Linked DNA regions of Arabidopsis thaliana. The protein of the gene in region 2 interacts with the protein of the main gene of each other region in a pairwise test. Each region holds a gene or a part of one and is shown on either strand. Other genes may lie near its edges. The genes, in order: CAD1 and AT4G38550.

Evidence for each region.
Region 1: the proteins of AT4G38550 (region 2) and CAD1 interact in a two-hybrid assay, tested with the Arabidopsis thaliana proteins (one large-scale study listed by BioGRID).

Annotation. Positions count from the first base shown.
Region 1 is NC_003076.8:17,730,578-17,740,120, reverse strand, and holds CAD1 (phytochelatin synthase 1 (PCS1)), read right to left. Parts: upstream 5,416-9,543; 5' UTR 5,246-5,415; coding exon 5,171-5,245; exon of another isoform or gene 4,899-5,170; intron 4,740-4,898; coding exon 4,583-4,739; intron 4,504-4,582; coding exon 4,265-4,503; intron 4,181-4,264; coding exon 4,017-4,180; intron 3,918-4,016; coding exon 3,866-3,917; intron 3,672-3,865; coding exon 3,444-3,671; intron 3,342-3,443; coding exon 3,152-3,341; intron 3,063-3,151; coding exon 2,797-3,062; intron 2,536-2,796; coding exon 2,449-2,535; 3' UTR 2,262-2,448; downstream 1-2,261. Other genes in the region: AT5G44080 (Basic-leucine zipper (bZIP) transcription factor family protein), read left to right, coding at 387-1,334; AT5G44065 (uncharacterized protein), read right to left, coding at 6,409-6,636; AT5G44060 (embryo sac development arrest protein), read right to left, coding at 8,460-8,912. UniProt on the Arabidopsis thaliana protein: Involved in the synthesis of phytochelatins (PC) and homophytochelatins (hPC), the heavy-metal-binding peptides of plants. Also involved in glutathione-conjugates degradation.
Region 2 is NC_003075.7:18,022,259-18,031,678, reverse strand, and holds AT4G38550 (phospholipase-like protein (PEARLI 4) family protein), read right to left. Parts: upstream 5,794-9,420; coding exon 5,742-5,793; exon of another isoform or gene 5,598-5,741; coding exon 5,380-5,597; exon of another isoform or gene 5,276-5,379; coding exon 5,171-5,275; exon of another isoform or gene 5,091-5,170; coding exon 4,962-5,090; exon of another isoform or gene 4,869-4,961; coding exon 4,746-4,868; exon of another isoform or gene 4,672-4,745; coding exon 4,294-4,671; exon of another isoform or gene 4,178-4,293; coding exon 3,971-4,177; exon of another isoform or gene 3,871-3,970; coding exon 3,133-3,870; 3' UTR 2,839-3,132; downstream 1-2,838. Other genes in the region: PIS2 (Putative CDP-diacylglycerol-inositol 3-phosphatidyltransferase 2), read left to right, coding at 7-105, 197-259; AT4G38560 (phospholipase-like protein (PEARLI 4) family protein), read right to left, coding at 488-1,210, 1,371-1,823, 1,918-2,192, 2,284-2,404; AT4G38540 (FAD/NAD(P)-binding oxidoreductase family protein), read right to left, coding at 6,852-7,393, 7,495-7,723, 7,804-7,966, 8,055-8,117, 8,198-8,344, 8,413-8,492; PLC1 (phospholipase C1), read right to left, coding at 8,781-9,095, 9,171-9,401.

The DNA.
Region 1 (9,543 bases), on a different chromosome or scaffold from region 2:
TAATTGATGCAAGTTTGACAACTACAGTTTGATGACACGCGACAAAACTTCCCACGCGCTCCAAAAGTTAGAAAATCTTATCCATTTTGATTTTAACCTTATCCAATTTACCAAAATCAGCTCTTTTCTTTGGTAAGTCTAAAAATTAAAACTCACGTGCCACATATGCGCGTGGTATTTTAAAAAAGTAATAAAAGTCAATTAATTACAATTTGGGATAAATTACCAAAAGTTCTCAAAGGTTCTCAATTCGACACAAAAAGCCCTAATCTCTGCTTCTGTAAAGTTCAACATTTGGCGGAGTCAAAGAAACAGAGTGATTCTCTGATCCGATTCCGGCGAAAGAGGACGAAACAAACGGAACTTGTTCATCATCTTCTCCAGAAATGACGTCGTTTCAGGTGATGCGTTCTTCAAATTCGAGAAACTCGGATCTATCTCGTCGCATCTCTTCTGCTTCTACTTCTTCTTCGTCTATAAGACCTCAACAACAGTTCCGGCGAGATCTAACAAGTGTCGGTTACGGCGGAAGAAACGACGGATTATACAGTTCAAATTCGATGACGGTCGAAGGGATTTTACACGATACTTTCGCATCAGATCCACCAGCACCAACGGAATCTTCACTCTTAGATGCGTCGATAAATCTGATGGATGCTTCTCCAGCACCAATGGAGATAACAACAACGACGGCTTCTGATGTTGTGGATCACGGCGGAGGAACGGAGACGACGCGTGGTGGGAAGAGTGTTGATGAGATTTGGAGAGAGATGGTATCAGGAGAAGGTAAAGGGATGAAGGAAGAGACGTCGGAAGAGATAATGACGTTAGAGGATTTTCTAGCGAAAGCTGCGGTGGAAGACGAAACAGCGGTGACGGCGTCGGCGGAGGATTTGGATGTGAAGATTCCGGTGACGAATTACGGATTCGATCATTCTGCACCGCCGCATAATCCGTTTCAGATGATTGATAAAGTAGAAGGATCAATAGTTGCGTTTGGGAATGGTTTAGATGTTTACGGAGGAGGAGCTAGAGGGAAGAGAGCGAGAGTGATGGTTGAGCCATTGGATAAAGCAGCTGCACAGAGACAGAGAAGGATGATTAAGAATCGTGAATCTGCAGCTAGGTCTAGAGAGAGGAAACAAGCTTATCAAGTTGAGTTAGAAGCTTTGGCTGCGAAGCTTGAGGAAGAGAATGAGTTGCTTTCTAAGGAGATTGAAGATAAGAGGAAAGAGAGATACCAGAAGTTGATGGAGTTTGTGATTCCTGTTGTTGAGAAACCGAAGCAGCAGCCACCACGGTTTTTACGCAGGATTCGGTCTTTGGAATGGTGATAAGAGGTATAGACTTTTGAGGATTTTAGGGTCTTAATGTTACTTACTTTGTGTATGTGTGTGTGAGAGTTGATTCATAATCTGCAGTAGAGTGTAATGATTATGGTTAATAACTTATATATTATATTAGATTGCATATGTTATTGGTTTTGCTGAGATTGATCTTATTTAGGCTGATCATAGTGAAGAGGGTACCAATGGAAACGAGATTCTTCATTTTGTTCTGAAAGATCTGGATTTTGGTCCTTATCCATGTCTGTGGAGGTAAAGCGAACAGAAGTGCAGTGATGACATCGTTTCCTGCTATGTACTTTGCTTCTGGACCATACTCAGAACCTTTGGTGACAGATTGGGTTGACGGCACCAATAGGCCAACCTCTTGTTCATTATTGGTATTAACTACCATCCCTGCTGTCACTTTAGCTTCCTCAACCCCAGGCATCAATGCATTTAACAGAACTATCTCGACAATAGAAGTCTTTCGATGAGCTTCCAGATAAGATAAGAGCTCCTGAAGTTAAGAACTTTCTGACGTGCTCCAACAGTTACAGTTCCATGCACTTGTGTCACTGCATCTCGCTGTGACCAGAGATTAGATAATCAAGTCAAGTGAAGATATTGATGGCCACAATGAACATTTAAGTAGGAGAATGAGATTTGAAAATCTCTCTGAATCATACATAGAATAAAGAGATTTTCTAAGAATCAAAACCATATCTCTGTCAGTATTTATAGCCACTGATCGGTGAAAAAGTGACCAGATCCAGTCTGCAATAGGATCTGTTAGAATCCGGATTCAAAATTTGACTGTCTAATACGAATGATCCTTAGCAAAACAGTGTACACAGTTGGGACTAAGGGATACTGTTGTTTTGAATGTAAGCCTTTGGTACTTATTTGTGGATAGTGGATTCATAATCTGCATTTGAGTGTGATGAAATATGATTCTAGGATTCTTAACTTATTGTGATTAACAATTTATAGAATGCAAGTTACATATATCTCTCATTGCAAATAGAGTTTGAATCGTACAGAGAATAAAGAGACTTTCTAACAATTAAGTGTTGAGAACGTGGGATTCAAATGGGGAAGAGAGAGGATTTGGGACAATGAACTAATAGGCAGGAGCAGCGAGATCATCCTCTTCCTTGTTCTCTTGGCATCGTTTTAGCAGCTGAAGTTGCCGTCGAAGATGCAATACCTGCATTTACACCAAATTCACCACGTTACTCATCTGCTTCACAGATTCATTTCACCAAGTACTCATTTAGATTCGGCATTTGATTTAGCTATATCTAAGGATGAACTCGAAAATAGTCATTGTCAATCTCAACTTAGATTAAGTTATTTGTTTCTTTTCCAAAAGACTTATATATCTCAAGTACAAAGATCCCATTTTCCACTAGAGAGAGAACCGTGACTCTTGATGATTACCGATAAATAGAATTGGTAAAAGCGTTACCTCTTCTTGAAGCAAAGTTGGGAGGGAAGCCATGGAAATGAGCTGCTTCATTTCATGCATAAGAGCTTGGTCTTTGATCCCTGACCATGTCTGTGGAGGTAAAGCCAATAGAAGTGCAGTGAACACATCGTTTCCTGCTGGATAAGTTGCTTCAGGACCACATTCACACTCAGTTTGCGTCGATGGCACTAACAGATCAACCTTTTGTTCATTCCCATCACGCACCACAACTCCAGTCACCACCGTGCCTTCAGAGTCATCAGGACCTTAATAGGAAACAAAAAATTAACAGTTGATCTAACACCAAAACTTTTAACTATGATAAGAAATTTGAAGAATCGACATGGCGACATACCTTTGATGCATTTCACGCAAGTTTCCCGACAACAAAACTCTTTTGATGGGCTTCCGGATAAGATTTCAGCTCCTTGGCAACAAGCCTTTGCAGCAGCATAAGTCAGACTGTCTTCATAACCCACTGTGGATAAGAACTTATTGATGTGTTTGAACAGTTCAGTTTCGTGCACTTCCTTCAGCACCAATTGCTGCGGTAGATTAAAGTTATGATTAAAATCATGTGTCACATAAACCAACAGAACAGTTTCCATGCAGCTTTAGGTTTCTATGAAAAATTATCCTGAAGATACCTTTAGTTTCAGCCTAGACTTCTCCTCTGCGCTGAGATTTTGGTTTGAGTCCTCTGTAATTCGGATCTCAGCCACCCATCTGATGAATTGGTTGAAATTTGATGGAAGTGACTTGAACACAACTGATATGATTTTCTCCACAGAATCTACATGCTGTGAACTTACAAGACGAGGAACATCTTCCTTCAAATACTTGGCTATTTCGATCCAGCTTTCATCCTTGCAGCTCTGGTATAGATATATAAAAGCAAAATTATCACCAATCCACAAGTTTTGTCTTACCAAAATGCTCATAAGGATCTCAAGTTCATTCAATACATGTGGAAGAGATTGTGAGTGAGAAAATTGCATTAATAGAATAGCAAAATTGAAGAAAAAGATATTAGCAAACTTAAAGAGAACCTATATTGCATCGAACATACCAGAGTATAGAGCAATCCGGGTTCTCTGTGTGGTCTAGATATGAGCATGAACCTGAGAACAACACAGAAAAAAATCAGACCATATTATATAGAAATATTACATCCATGATACAGTAAGAACCTAAGCGAAAGATAAGAAAAGATTATGTACCCTCTACGTTTCCCTGTTGACTGATCAATACTGTCCATGGCTTCCCAAAGAAGTTTAAGAGGAACCCAGTGAGGGGGATACTTGAAACGAGCAACATCAAGAATCAAAGCCATATCTCTCTCAGCATTATAGCCACCAATAGGTGAAAAGTGACCAGTCCCAGTCTGCAATTATAGCCACCAGACGTTTTAAAACTTGAAAATATGACTGAGCCTTAGCAAAACAGTGTGTACAAAGTTATGCTTTACCTGCTTAAATACACCTCGGTGATATGTTGAGATCATATGACAATTCTCAGAACTCGTGCATTTGACGACAAATTTGCGGAAATCATCAATGGTGCTCTGACTTGTACGGAAAGCCTCAACTTTTGCTCCTGAACAATGAGCCAAACAGACAACTTTTCCAAATGAAATGCCTTTTTCCTTCACTACTTCCAGAGGTTCGCAGCAATCCAACATTGATTCATCAAACCACCTCCAAGGCCCTATTGGAAGAGAGGAAAACTTTTTATAAAAAACCATCATTTATTTAGTGTGGACATAATTTGCTTCAATCTTGCATACCTTTCCATTTACGTCCAGGATCGATAGAAAGAGCATTCAACACCACTGAGAGACTAGCCAAACCACAATACGCAGGTTCGGATTGTGTCTGAAAATACGAAATCAACCTGAAAAATCCTTCCATAGTTCCTTTCTGAAGCGCTTCATTGAAGATTAGCTGCCACAAATGATCAAAAATACTTTTTAGACATCAACACAGCTAACATTAACAAGTACATCTCCAGTAAATATAACCACCAAGCGTACTACTTCCAGAAACACTATCACTGAAATTACTTGGAGATATATTCAGATCTCTGTGATCACTGTCACTGACCTTAGAAGGTTCACAAGTGATGATCACTGTCAACGACTACATTATGTGTTTTCACAATTCAAATCCAAATCCAGTATCTAATTTTACAAAACGCGTTTGATTCAAGTTCTGAACGAATTGTAAGATCTCATGAGTATTGAAGACAAAAACAAAAACGAAATCGAGATTGGAGTCTGGAGATCGTGATTCATCAGAACCACAGAAAAATTCGCGTAACCAAAAACCTAGTTTATAATCGCAATCCATGAAATCGAAACTTGATCCGTACGTACCTTGCCTTCGGCGGAAGAAAAGTCAATGGCCGGAGGAGAAGGAAGAGATCGCCGATATAAACTCGCCATAGCCATTTTTCACTGCTTGTTTTGGTATCTATATATACTGAGAAATTACAGAGGAACACAAAAGTGTTTGCTGTGGAAGATTCGTTAGTGGATTCGAAAATAACTTTCGGTGTGTGAGATTCGAAATTGGGAAGATGATGATTTGCGTATTTAATATACAGACTCACTCAATTATTTGAACTCTCTCAGGTCAATGCTCTCTCTTGGTCAACTCTAATGTGAAAAGCCGTTAGTGTTGACCTCGTCAAAATCATCCGGTTTGGGTTGCTTCGGTTTGGTTGGTATTACTTGTACACTACATTTAATGTGAATTAATACAATTTCTGAAAATGAGACCATTATTACGAAATTTTAAGGGGATTATTTTAATTTCGGTTATTGAAATTTGGTTTTTGTTGTAGAATTTTATGAACTAGTAGGTTAACAAAATATTCGGTTTTGTTTGGTTTTGGAGTTTGGATGACTAAAGGATTGACGACGTGTGGTCACCGTTAGTCTTTGGTCAAAGTTGGCGCGAGAGAGGGAAGACTTCTTGAACCGGTATGGTCAGAGGACTTTGGTTTATTTGTAGCGTAAACGTCTCAATCAATCATCAATTATGTAGAATAACCATTTGGTTCCCAAATTACAATCCAACTTGGAATTATGTAGTACTATTTATTGGAAGTTTCGGATTTTTTTTAGAGATTTTGCAAGTGTTACGAGCTATCCAACTTTTGAATTATATGTTTTAGCCTAATTGACAATATTACAATCCAAATTGACTGTAATTTGTTATTTTCACTGTTATTGCAATGTTATTCATCAAAAATATTACAAGGCCTAAATAACAGTAGCCTTGTTCTGAGAAAATTATGGAAATAGAAAAAAAAAATACTATGACCAAAACATTGAGAGTTGAAAAAGGAGAAGCAAAAAAGTTATACTACATAATATGATAAATATAAGTTTTATGTTGTTAGGAATTTGAAAAGTTAAGTGAAAAGTTAGTTTTATGTGGTTCGTACATGACATTGTAAGTATATATTCAATGAGTATGTTTGTTGTTTTTTACGCCATTTGTTATTATCCAAAATACAAATTCTTCTAGAAATTGAGGGTATATTATTGGAACAATACACTTTCAACCATCATTTTGAAGATGATCATCCTCAAAGTACATAATCTTTTCAAACGGATTTGATGAGTTTCTTGTGGGCTACTGAACGCCGTAGTAACCTAAGACAAAACAGATCATTTTGAACTTTCTTCTCACCAACTGGTAGAGGCGATTGAGCATCCACGTTGGTTTCCCCTGTTTTGTCAATTGATAGTTGATTCTTGAAATTCATCGAATGGAAAGTAGAATGTACACTAGAACCTTGCAATGGGACTACAATTGAGATTTCCAAAAGCATCACGAAAGATCTTATATCGCTAGTGAAAGGGTCTTGTTGGTTATAGGACAAGATAATTATCAAAACTCAAAAGCAAGAGGAATTTGATTAATCGTGAAGGTGATATTTCTTCCCCTACAAGACTTTGTTGGTTTTAGACTGATATGGTTTTGAGCTTTATTGTTCTGCTCTTTGATTTCAAGGCCTTGTTCATGTTTTCCCTTTGTATTAGTGTTTTCTTGTTTCGCTCCCTTCATGTATTCTTTGATTTCTGTAAAGGCATAACAATTATTGTGGTAAAAGAAAAAAAAAGATTATTTACTTACGATGCTCTAATTCATTACAATTTACAACTAACTTTAATAATTCTTATAGTATATATATTTAATATACTACCAATATGAAGTAAAACTAGATTGTGTATAGACATTACATATATGGATACCCAGTTGGTTGTACTGAGAGACCCTCTATTCCAACCAATGTGGGTCACATTGCTTTAGATATGTCTGAGATTTTCAAATTTGCAGCTGTTCTGCTTCGATCAAAATTTCAAAAAATTAAAGATGAGCAAAAATAAAATATGAAGAATTAAAGAACTCACCAACCCATGAGAAATGTACTTAAATTCAAGAGGTTCTCAGATTCCCTACATATGTACACAGTAATCACCAACAAAAACGTTCAATAAACATGAGAAGCTTGAGTTCGAAATGGAAAAGTAAGAGCATAAGATAAGTCATAAGAGTGATAAGGAAACAGATCAAAAGATAATACTATTAGAAAACTAATGTAAGTTATAAGCAACAATTGAAGCTGAAGAGTCATTGAAACTCCATTGACCCATAATCAAACAAATGGTCAATGGATAACAAATATTCGACCTGACTGGTTAATGCAGTTAACCTCAATGCCGTGATGCTTGGGAGTCAAAGATTCTGTATCACCAAGAAACAACAAAGAGCTTCACAAATGTTGATATAGATAGATTCTTATTTAAATTGAACTGAAGAATCGAAAACATAATCACCATTTTTTTTGTCCACTGCTAACTACAAAATCCAACGAACAAACCACAATGAGATCATAGAACCATGTTCTGAATTACCCAAGTATTCAAGTATTGTCCTTTGAACTTTTCCTGTGATTAAGAAACTTTATAGAACCAGCAAAACACACGAATTCAATTCTAAAAATAGAAAAAAAAAAAAAAATTAGTCAAGTAAAGGGCATCATCATCATCAGATGATATACTACATCTAAAAACTCAGGCTCTTAATTCCTGTTTAAGAATTCAAGTAAATTAGTGTCTTCAAAAATGATCGGTATAATTAGCATTTCCAGTAACTTCTGATAATCATCTCAAAATAAAGGTAAAATTTTTACAAACTCAAAACAGAGATCATATTAATAAGTTCTTGCAAGAATCAAAGTATACAAAGGGACTGATCTTCACTCTATTTGCTTCCCAGATCAGGAGATTCATATTGTTGAATTAACACGGATCTAAGATTGATTCAACAGGTTAAGTAATCTAAAATCATTACGCATTAATCATTTTTGTTCATCTTCAAAATAAGTAATAATAACATAACAAAAAAATGGTTGAATCTGGGTTCAATTTGGTCAATTTAAAAGCATAATTAGACCAGATTTGCAACATTCAAAAAAACCCTAAAACATTTCTGAGTCAATTTCGATGAAGACGATGAAGAGAGAGCTTTTTACAAAAAAACATTAATGGACAAAAAATAAAAGATAGAGAAGAGGAATGTTTCGGTGTTACAGCTGTTTTGTTTTTCTAAACGACGAACCAATAATACGACTCCACGTGGATTTACGCATCACAATTTAAGGAATCGGGCAAGCTGTGACGGGTTAACGATACCGGGCAAATGGGTCCCATCTACCCGGAGTATGTTAGCAACCTCCACATATCTCCTCCGTTTATGATCACTCGGCTCTATATCATGGCTCGGCTTATTCTTTCTAGGGTCAATAGATTGGGTCGTTAATGGGCCGGCTTGGGCTTTAGTTGGATTCCAAAGCTCTCCGAAGAGTGTGCCATTGTTGAGAAACTCATGAGCCAAGTAACCGGCTAAGAGCTGATTCGAACAAACCGGCTCGGCTAAGGCTACAGTGGCGGTGGTAGTTGGTCGAGGGATGATCGGCGTTTTCTTGACGATGGATTTAGTCGGCGGCGGTGGTGGATTTATCACGGCGGATTCCGTTTGTTTGCCGGCGACGGCGCCGGAGGTAACTCGGCGTGGGGGAAGACGCATCGTTTTTGTATTCATGGCTGTTTCTTTTTAAGTGCATGCCACGTCATCGACAGTAATTTTTAAATTAATTACTGCGGTGAAACAGTATTTTTAAACAACCCGAGAAGGCTTTTTATTTTTTAATCTCTGTTTCTTTAACTTAAGAAATAATAAGTAGAGATAGAGAGAGAGATAGAGAGAGAATTAGACGATTTGAGAGAGGAGGAGAAATGAAAGGACAAGGAGATTTCAAGTAGGGTTACGACAATATATAGAAGAAGGAAGAATAAATTACCCTTTAATATTGCCAAAATTACGAACAATGCCATTCGTGAGTAAATGACTTAATTGTCCTTTCTTCTTTACCATATCTTCTAATTTGGGTTACCAATGGAACAAGTAAGGAAAATATGAAAGAGCTTTTGGGGTTGAAGAAAAAGGAATCTGCTTTTTTTGAATTTGTTTTCTCTTAATCTCATAAATAGATTCTGATTATAGATTTTATTACCAAATGATATGTGAAGTTATTTTTTATGTCTTTATGAAATAGTTATAATATGTCAAATCAATTTATGTTTATTATATATAAGTATATAACAAACAAATAATGGGATTTTAAAATCAACTAGTGGTACTATATGATAAAACATTTACTAACAATTAAGAA
Region 2 (9,420 bases):
CCTCAGGTGGTAGTGAAATCATTGATGCAGATTTCACCGCTCTCTTTACTCTTGGCTTTGAGCATATTTGGTTGGTCCATCAAGCAGATCATCAATGTGATTCAGGTAAGTCTGATTCACAACTATTCAATCCCTCTAATAGACTAGGCATCTCTAGTTCTTATTGTGTCTTTTTTTCTGTGGTCGCGTGTGTCAGATGAAAACGGCTGCAGATGTTTGTGTCCTGTATGACATAGAGAAACAGCATAAGAAGCCTTGACGTTATGTGCCCGTGAATCGTGTTTAACTCTTTTGTTTCATGTTGTGTACGACACTGTACATACGGATCCATCTTGTTTAGTATGTAGATAAACTCTTGTCTTTAAATCCATTCACTATTTTCAGAAATTTCATGTCTTCTAAGTTCTTTAGCACATCATGTTTTGATTGCAACCATAAAACCCCATCTCTGCTAGCTAGAAAAACCAAAACAAAAGCATAAGGTTGATCAAAAGACGTTCTCTAACAAAGATTCCCCCTCAAACTTTTCCACCTTGGAGCTCAGAAACGCCAAGCGTTTCTCCAAACGCGCTCGCTTCATCTTCAGTTCTCCCAAACGCCCTGCCATTTCCATGACTCCTTTACGAAAGTCCTTTGCCTCCTTCTCCTTCAATCTCACCTCCTCCTGTATCTTCTTCATTTCTTCTCTTTCAAGCAGCATATCCCGTTCACGCCCTTCCTTCTCCACCACCGTTGTCTCGTGTCCATCATAGTGGTGGGCCGCTTCAAGAATCTCGTTCAGGATCTCCCTGAGCCAACCAGCTCTGATTTTAACAGACTCTGCGTCTATAACAACCGATAGCATTTCCAACACGCGTGCCTGCTTCAATTTCTTCAGGGGCGTCGATTGGAGTTCAAGAACCACCGCGGCTAGAGTCTCAAGCGAGTAAGATTTTGTGCGCAGTGACTGAAGTTTGGAACCGGACGCTATGTCTCCATGCTTGTCCAGGATTTTCTGCAGAGTGGACGAGACGCTCGCTCTGACCTTGTAGCTTCCTACAGAGACATACGACTCTGAAATCATTGACTTCATTTCCTCTCCTGTTTCGTAAATCTTTAACGCTTTCATGCATTCGATCTCAGATGGAGTAAAGCTATGGCATTCGACAGGCAGCTGTAATGGCTCCTTCGATTGTTTGTCTAGTGGTGTACGGGATTTTTGGGGAAGCATCTGCAGGAGAGATGAAGGAAAATTTCTTGTGATTATTTGAGCAATACTCTTCTTGATAAATAGAGCCATCCAAGAGTGGAAAGTTATTCTTGTTGATCAGACTCATGTTTCTGCGGTACTAATTAAGATAAATGACAGATGCTAAAGCAGAGAGACAGACCAATACCGTAATGGATCTTGATGTCAGATTTTCTTGAGGGGACAAAAGAATATCGGGATAAAGTATAACGCATTTGTCTCTGTCTTTAGTGTACACTGAATCCGCTTTATTAGCATGATATTTGGATGCTTGAGCAGCGTAATGATAGTTACCACCGATGTTGAAGGATGTTGGCTGAGTTTGGGGGATATGAGGCCGAGTTTCACCTTTCTGAGGTGATTTGAGACCAGCACTTTCAAGGGATCTGTGTGGTACCGGCTGAGTTTGTGGGATCCTAGACCTGGGTGGTTCAAGGTAACTTCCTCTAGGTTCTGGAGTCTTTGAGCGTGGTCCTTGGTTTCTTGTCCTGTGTTCTGATTTCCTTGGCCTAGTATCAGGACTTAGAGGTGTCTTAAGCCGAGTCTTAGATGGCATTTCATCAAGAATTGGAGCTTCACCTTCACGGTGATCGATCTTCACATCGAAAACAAGAGCCAAAATAAACATCCAAAAGATGTGCACTTAACAAAGTTTATATAGATAACACTGACCGAGAATAAATGCTCACCCTTGATGAGAAACAATCTTTCTTGCAATACACAGCGAAAGAAGGCGACATGGGGAGCCAATTGATTCCCGGGGCAGTTTCGTTCCCATGTAAAGTGGAACGTGGTGTGGGCAAGTTTGCATTGAAAGAGTCATCGGAGGAAGAGAAGGAGGGGGACTCGTCTGACTCATCCATTCTTTTTCCGTAATAACTCGGAAGTGGTGATCTGTTTCCCGCAATAACACGAACCGGACTGGTAAGAGGCGTTTCCTTGCTACAAGCTGGTTTACCAAAGCCTTAGACAAAGAGACAAAGTTCCACAGTTTCTTTAATCTATATAACAAGTACAGTCATCTTGAAATGCAAACAAAATGAGAAGCTTCTTACCAAACCGTTTTTTCTCCTTCTTGGGGACATCTCCGGAGCTTATTCTCTTGAAACACTGATCGTGGCACTCGTGGTAGGGATTTCCTGAGTTAGGACAATCATGATGTACTATTCCAGACATGCCACTACCCTCTCAGAGACTTGGAGATCAAAACTTAGAACCTGACTAATTAACAGAGAAGCGTATATCTTTCTCTCTCTCTCTGGAAAGATCCTCCACACGAAGAAAGTGAGAAGTTGTTATAAAAGTGAGGGTTTACGCTAACAGGAAAAAAGCAAAGAAGTTTACAACCAAAGACAGAGTCAAAAGGTTTCAGAGGAAGAAGGAAGGAAATTGAGATGGATGATTGTGATGGAATGAATAGGTCTGAGAACACGACACAGAATTGACTTGAAGGATTCACGAAATGAGGAAATTTCAGAAGTAAAGAACAAATTGTTGAAATCTGAGGCTGAAAGGAGACGGATGTTTTGTTTTTTCTTTGCAATGCATACAAGAGACTGAGAGAGTACTGCTATAGTTTGTTTGTTTGCTATAACAAGTGTTGACCACCAAGTCAATCAAGTTTTGATATCACAGAAGATATAAACAAGAGTAAAATGCACATACATAAATATATAGCTTGAAACACACGCATGCATATTATTACAATGTATTGAGATGCTTGACTCTGAAACAATCTACGCTTCTGCAATAGCTGACCTTGACTCTCAACATTCAACATAAAAGCTTTTTAAATCTTTTTAAGAATTACACTAATGGCCCCAAACTTTAAATTTATAAACATTTCATGTCAATAGAAAATAATTGAATAATGAGATCCAAAACGGAAGAAATTGGAGACGGAGCTAAAGGTGGAGAAGGACGGCTTCTCCTTGGAATTTGTGGACTTTGGACTGGAAGAGGTCGAGATTCTTGTTCAATTTCGAACCTTTCATCTCCAGCTGCCCTAGCCTCCCTGCGACCACCGTCACCTTCTCTCTGCATTCTTTGATTTCCTTCTCCCTCTTCACCAGCTCCGCCGTCATCTCCTCCATCTCCCCCTTTTTCGCCGTCAGATCTCTCTCGCACACCTCTTTCTCCACCTTCGCCGTGTCGTACTGCCCGAAATACTCCACCGCCTCCGCCAGTTCCGTTACCGCTGTCTTTAGCCACGACACGTTGATTTTCACCGACTCCATGTCTTTCACCACCGCCGCGATCTCCGCCACGCGCGTTTTCGTCAAATCCCTCAGAACCGTCTTTTTCAGCTCCATCACCACAGCGGCTAGGGATTCCAGGTAATAAGACCGAGTTGCCATTGCTTGCAGCTTCGAGGAGGCTGCGATGTCGCCGTGCTTGTCGATGATCGCCTGCAGGGTTTCCGACACGCTCTGCCTCACTCTGTAATTCGCGACGGATACGTAAGCCTCGGATATCATTGATTGACTCTCTTCCTTGCCGCTTTCGTAGTTCTTGAGTCCTCGCATTTTGGTAATCTCCTGCATTGTGAAGCTTTGTGACTCGTCAGGCAGCTCCGGCGGCTCGAACTGCTTGTCTTGCTCATAGGTCTCGGCCGCAACTATCTGGTAGTTGTGGTGAACAGGCTGCAGGTTTAAAGCATTGTCATTTCTTTGTTTTTTAGGCATTTCAGAATCATTAGTGACTGTGAGAGAGAGAGAGAGAGAGTTGGGAAAGGATTCACACCGTGCTGTTCTCGGATACGATCCTGGAACGAAGTGGGCTGCGGATTTCTGGATAGAGGTAGGTGGAGTGATTATCGTCGTCGCTGGATGAATAGTATGGTCCATGAACGGGACTCGGAGGAGCGCTCTTCTGGTGTATTAAGTCGCCATCTAGCTCATACATTGCCTCGAAATCCTCGTTATCCTGGTGGCTTCTACGATGGTCAGGCTGCACAATTAGAGAGAAAATTCAATATATGTGACTCACTGTCAAGAGGACGTTTTTTATCACTAGGAAGAAGCTGAAACAAAAACAATGAGCCAGACTTAAGATTTTTTGAGTACCGTTCTGTATGGTTGTGGTGGTGGTGGTGAATGGCTTGCTGCTGGATGCAATGGGCTAGGTGGAGAGCTGTTTCGTGGTGTTACATCGTCATCTTGCTCATAAAAGTCCTCAATTTGCTCTTTACCATGGTTACTACGTTGATCAGACTGCAGCATAACAAGAACATATTCTATTGTCAGTCTAAGTGACTCACTAGAAAGAGAATTTGATTTACTTATCCCCAAAAAGAAGCCAGTATCGAGTTTTTGAGTACCGACCGTTTTGTATGCTGCTGGATGAAACGGGCTCGGTGGAGAGCTGTTTCGCGGTGTGACATCACCATCTTGCTCGTACAGGTCCTCAAATTGCTCTTTATCATAGTTACTACGACGATCAGGCTGCAATTAGAGAGAGAGAGTTTATGTCATCTATGTGGCTCATCGTGTACTCAAGAATCACGAGCAAGACTTACCGTTCTGTATGGTGGTGGAGAGCGGCTTCCAGCTGGATGGAATGGGCTCCCTGGAGCGCTATTCTGCAGCATGGTGTTGGCCTCAGGCTCATACATGTCGTAGTGGTCTCTGCGGCGATCAGGCTGAAATCAAGCATTTAAAAAGCAATGCATTCTATTTAGTGATTGATGGGTTTGAATACGAAGCAGGTCATCAGAAGTTTAGGTTATTAGTACCGTGTGGAATGGAGATGGAGAAGGGCTTCTGAATGGGTGAAATGGGCTCGCATTGCTTCGGGTATCTGCTTCATACATTCGATCCTGGTGTTCTCGACGATACTCGGTTGATTTCCTAGGACGTTCAGGCTGCAGGTTTAGAGAGAATGGTATCAGGAAACAAACGGTGGAGACAGTAGAAGACTCGAATCAGAAGAAGCAGAAAGTACCGTGCGGTTTCCAGCTGGATGATATGGGCTGGAAGGAGCGTTGGTCTCTGGCTCATAACTCATGGCCTCCATTCTTTCTCTACCGTGGTCTCGACGATGGTCGGGCTGCAATTGAGGAGAAGGCAAACACAGTATTAGATACGTATACTACGTTTGTTTCAAATAAACTCAATTGGTTTTGGGGAATGAAACAGGGGATAGATGAGTACCGTGCCGTATCCATACACGGGAGGCCTAGGGTGGGAGTTGGGGACGCGTTCAGAGGCAGGCTGTTTCCAGTATGGTCTTTGTTCATTGGACATGGGGAAATCGTACTCTGTTTCGGCTCTTTTGTTTGAAAGATACGATGGGGGCGGGGATCTAGCGCCGGGGGGATGAGCAGGGCTGCCCGGAGTGCTCTTGCTGACAGTTTTCTTGCCAAAGAGTCCTGAAGAGAAAGTTTGGATATGCTAAGAGGATGATGATAGTAAATACTAAATAGGATCAGTTTGAGAAAGTCTAGTCTTTCACCATCCCCAGCGAGAGTTAAACATTCCGGCTATTATCTTAGATTCCCAAAAAAGGGAGTTACCTGATGATTTTTTGCTATCTTTCTTAGCTTTGCTTGAAGTGAAGAAGTCCATATTGGGTTGAGGCAAAGGATGGGATTGAGAAATGATCTGTGGTTAGACCGGAACATAAGAAGGCATGCAAATTAGTACCTTGGTTGTATAGTAATTATACATATGTTAGGAATTCATAAGAGTGAGTACCTTGCTGCTGGAGGATCTAAAGTTGCCGGAGAAGACTTTTTGGTTCGTTTCGTTTCTGTTCTTCAACGCGTCATACTACGACTGGTATATATGATTCGATAGATATAATGGAGTCAGAGGCCCCTTTAAGTCTGTGTATTATGGATATTTTTATAAACAAGAAAATGGCAATTGGAAAAGTCTACGATAACCATTCATTTGACTATTGACTTATAAATTATTACAAACAAACAAATTCCTAAAGATATAACAATATTGGTCAGACTCAGATCTAAATCACATAATTGTTTGTTTTCGTTTTTCTTTATCAATCAAGTGGCAGCAACCATGACTTGGTCAATAGTGGCGACCTTTCTCCTGTATTCAAATGGGCCCATAAGCAGTCACAAAATGGGCCTTAAAATAGAAAAAAGAAAGGCCCAAATAGAGGAGAAATTCCTTAAAAACCCAGCCCCGCCCAGATGATCACATGCGTCTTCATCGCTGCTCGCCATCGCCGGCCACCGGGGTTGCCGCTGATGCGATTCGATCCAGTGGGAACTTTTGTCACCTTGCCTCTTCTCTCTTTCCTAACACTCAAATCTCTCCTCAGCCTTCAGGTTCCTTTTCTTTTTCTTTCTGAATCCATTCCTGTTTGAACGAGGCTCGCATACGTTATAATGTAATAAACATAACTTCTGCTATGGTTCAATTGAAGTAGTCATTTTCTTTTCTCATTCATCACTTGTTGATATCAGAGCTTTAGATTGCCGTAAAAAATAAAAGAGCTTCTTGTTCACTACACAAACTTACTTTATTAATTCTGAGTTTGTTATATGAAATAACACTAAACAGATAGATAGTCTTTGAAGCAAACCAAAGGTGAAAACTGTTCTGCAGTTGGTGATGACAAGAAGAATCACAAGCTTTTGACTTATGTTTGAGAATCATCATGGGACAAGGCTTCCGCAATCGAAATGGGACTTTTTCAGCAGCATCCTAGAAAGGTAAGACGACAGGAACCTGTCTCTGAACATGTTCATCCACTTCCCTCTGCTCTGCTGTATGAATCCTACTGTATATGCCGTTGTTATAAGATCAATGCTTCTCCATTTCCTTTCTCCTGCATACTTCTTCAAACCTTCTTCAATCCTCTTATAACCCTCTTCTTCATTTTCTTCTGTTTCACCTTTCAGACTCTTTGCCTTTATCGCTTCACCTAGACAACGAGCAAGGATAACTCCATCCTCCATGGCTGAGCAACCTCCTTGTCCGATATCAGGAGTCATTGGGTGAAGTGCATCTCCTGCAACGCACACGTTGTCTTTTGTGATGTTTGACCATAGCAGTTCCCATGGAGGTCGGTACTTCAGTTGAGACATCACCATGCTATCAAGATCAGTGGTCTCCACCACATTCTTAATGTTTTCAGGCAAGTCTTTGATCTTGTTCAGCACAAACTCTTTGAGGATTTCCGAATTTGTCTCCTCATCTAACAAGCGCAAGGAGAAGAGTCAAAGACAGTAGTATGATATGAACAAGAAGCTGCTTGTAGTTAGATATTAGATATCAGGTAAAGTTGCATATCTTCACCTATATCAGTGGAGGTGTGGGTTAGGAACCAGTAGACAGTGTTGTGGTCACATGGGATAAAACCGGAACGAACGCCGTCTCCATAAAACTGGAAGAACCTTTTCCCAAATCCATGGCCTTCCGGAAAATGTGTGAGCCCTCGGATTGCTAACCGGGCAGTTGTAGCGGGATTTTTGAAGCCTAGCCACTTACCAACCACTGAGTACACTCCATCGCACCCTACCAAAACCTGCATTTCGTTTAGAAACCCTACAATTCCGTAGCAAGACCAGGCCTCACATGGTTTACAGAGGACAAGTAGTTATTTACCTTGGTTTTGAGAATGGTCCCGTCGGAGAGATGAACCTTCTTGTAGCATCCAGACAATTCAATATGAACAACCTTAGACGAAAACCTGATGGTCTCTTCAGGCAACTCACCTGCTAGAGCCTCTAACAACAGCTTCCTCTGTACGCATCGAGACTCATATTCTCTGACAAAATCATTCAACAATATTATTGAAGTTATCTTATTTATTGTTTTAACATTCATATGCTCTGTGCAGAGAAGAAGAAACATACTCGGATTCTGGAAACAGCATCTCTGTGGGAGGAGTTCCTGCAGAAATTGTTCCAACCACCCATCTGCAGCAAAATCAAAGATGAGTCCCCTTTTTTACTGAGCTGATTATATATGAATAGTAATAATAGTGTTAGTTTGATACCCTTCAAGGCGATCATGGAGACTGCGAATATGCTGAGAAACGCCGAGAGCTTCCATGGCCTTCCAAGCATTGAACCAAGTGGTAAATGCAAATCCTGTCGCTCTCAGTGTCTCCGAAGATTCCAGCACCATGCTTCTGATCCCAAGCCTGTGACACACACCACTTTAGTTAACTTACTCTGCTTAATAACAACTCAAAAGGCACGCCACACACACCTGTGTAGTCCAACAGCGGTGGAAAGGCCGGAGATACCGGCGCCAACGATGATGATATCTGGGCTGCCTTCTTCTTCCATGGTGCGTTGATGATCTTAGAAAGAAAGCTCTGTTTTTCTTCCTCTCTAGTATTTATTTTTAACTTTCAAGTAAACAAAAAGAAATGTGGTTGAAGTTGGCAAGTCAAACAAGGCACCCCGTTCTAGGCAGGCGGCTACAGTCATCAAATATCGAATCTTTAATAGTATTTATATGTTGTCACACTTTATCCCGTTCTAGCTAGGGCGCAAATAATTGTACATTATAAATTTATAAACGTGCAAACAGAGATACACACTGTGTGGCTTATTTCGGAAAGAAAACGAGATTCAACGAAACGTATAAGGAGGATCCAAGGCGAAGCTGACGAGAAGCCTCGTGTTCTTGTAGGCCTTGCCTGTTCGATCGTGAAGCCGGACGGCTCTAACTCCGGACTTCAGTTCCGGCAGAGGAAGACATGTCTGTCCTGCGAAATCATTCTGGGTGTCATTGTCGTAGTCTTGGACTTTGAACCACAGAAGCGCCAGTTCTGGAACAGACAGCTGAAACAGGAACTCGTCGTTGCCCCATATAGGAAACCACTGATCGACAGCTGTTTCCGTTCTGTATGAGACCGTGTCTCTCGGTACTCCTGCTATTCCAATCTGATGCAGCAAATGCAACACACACACAGTTACGAAGAAATCTAGTTTAAAAGAAGAGTAGTAGTTGTTGTTTACCTTGACGAAGAAATCTGGAGGAGAGTATTGATCAAAGTGTGTATGATGGAAATCCAAATCCCATCCTTCGCCAGTGTAAATCTTAACCTTAAGAGTGGTCTTAATGGGAAACCTTTTGCAAGGGTCGAAGAGTGTGTGCTCGTCTAGCAAGATGCGAGGCTTTTTAACGTACCCACATCCACCATTCCCCCTGAACATTCCTTGCATTATCCATAGTTGCTTCCCATGTCCCTTTTCAACACAAATATTA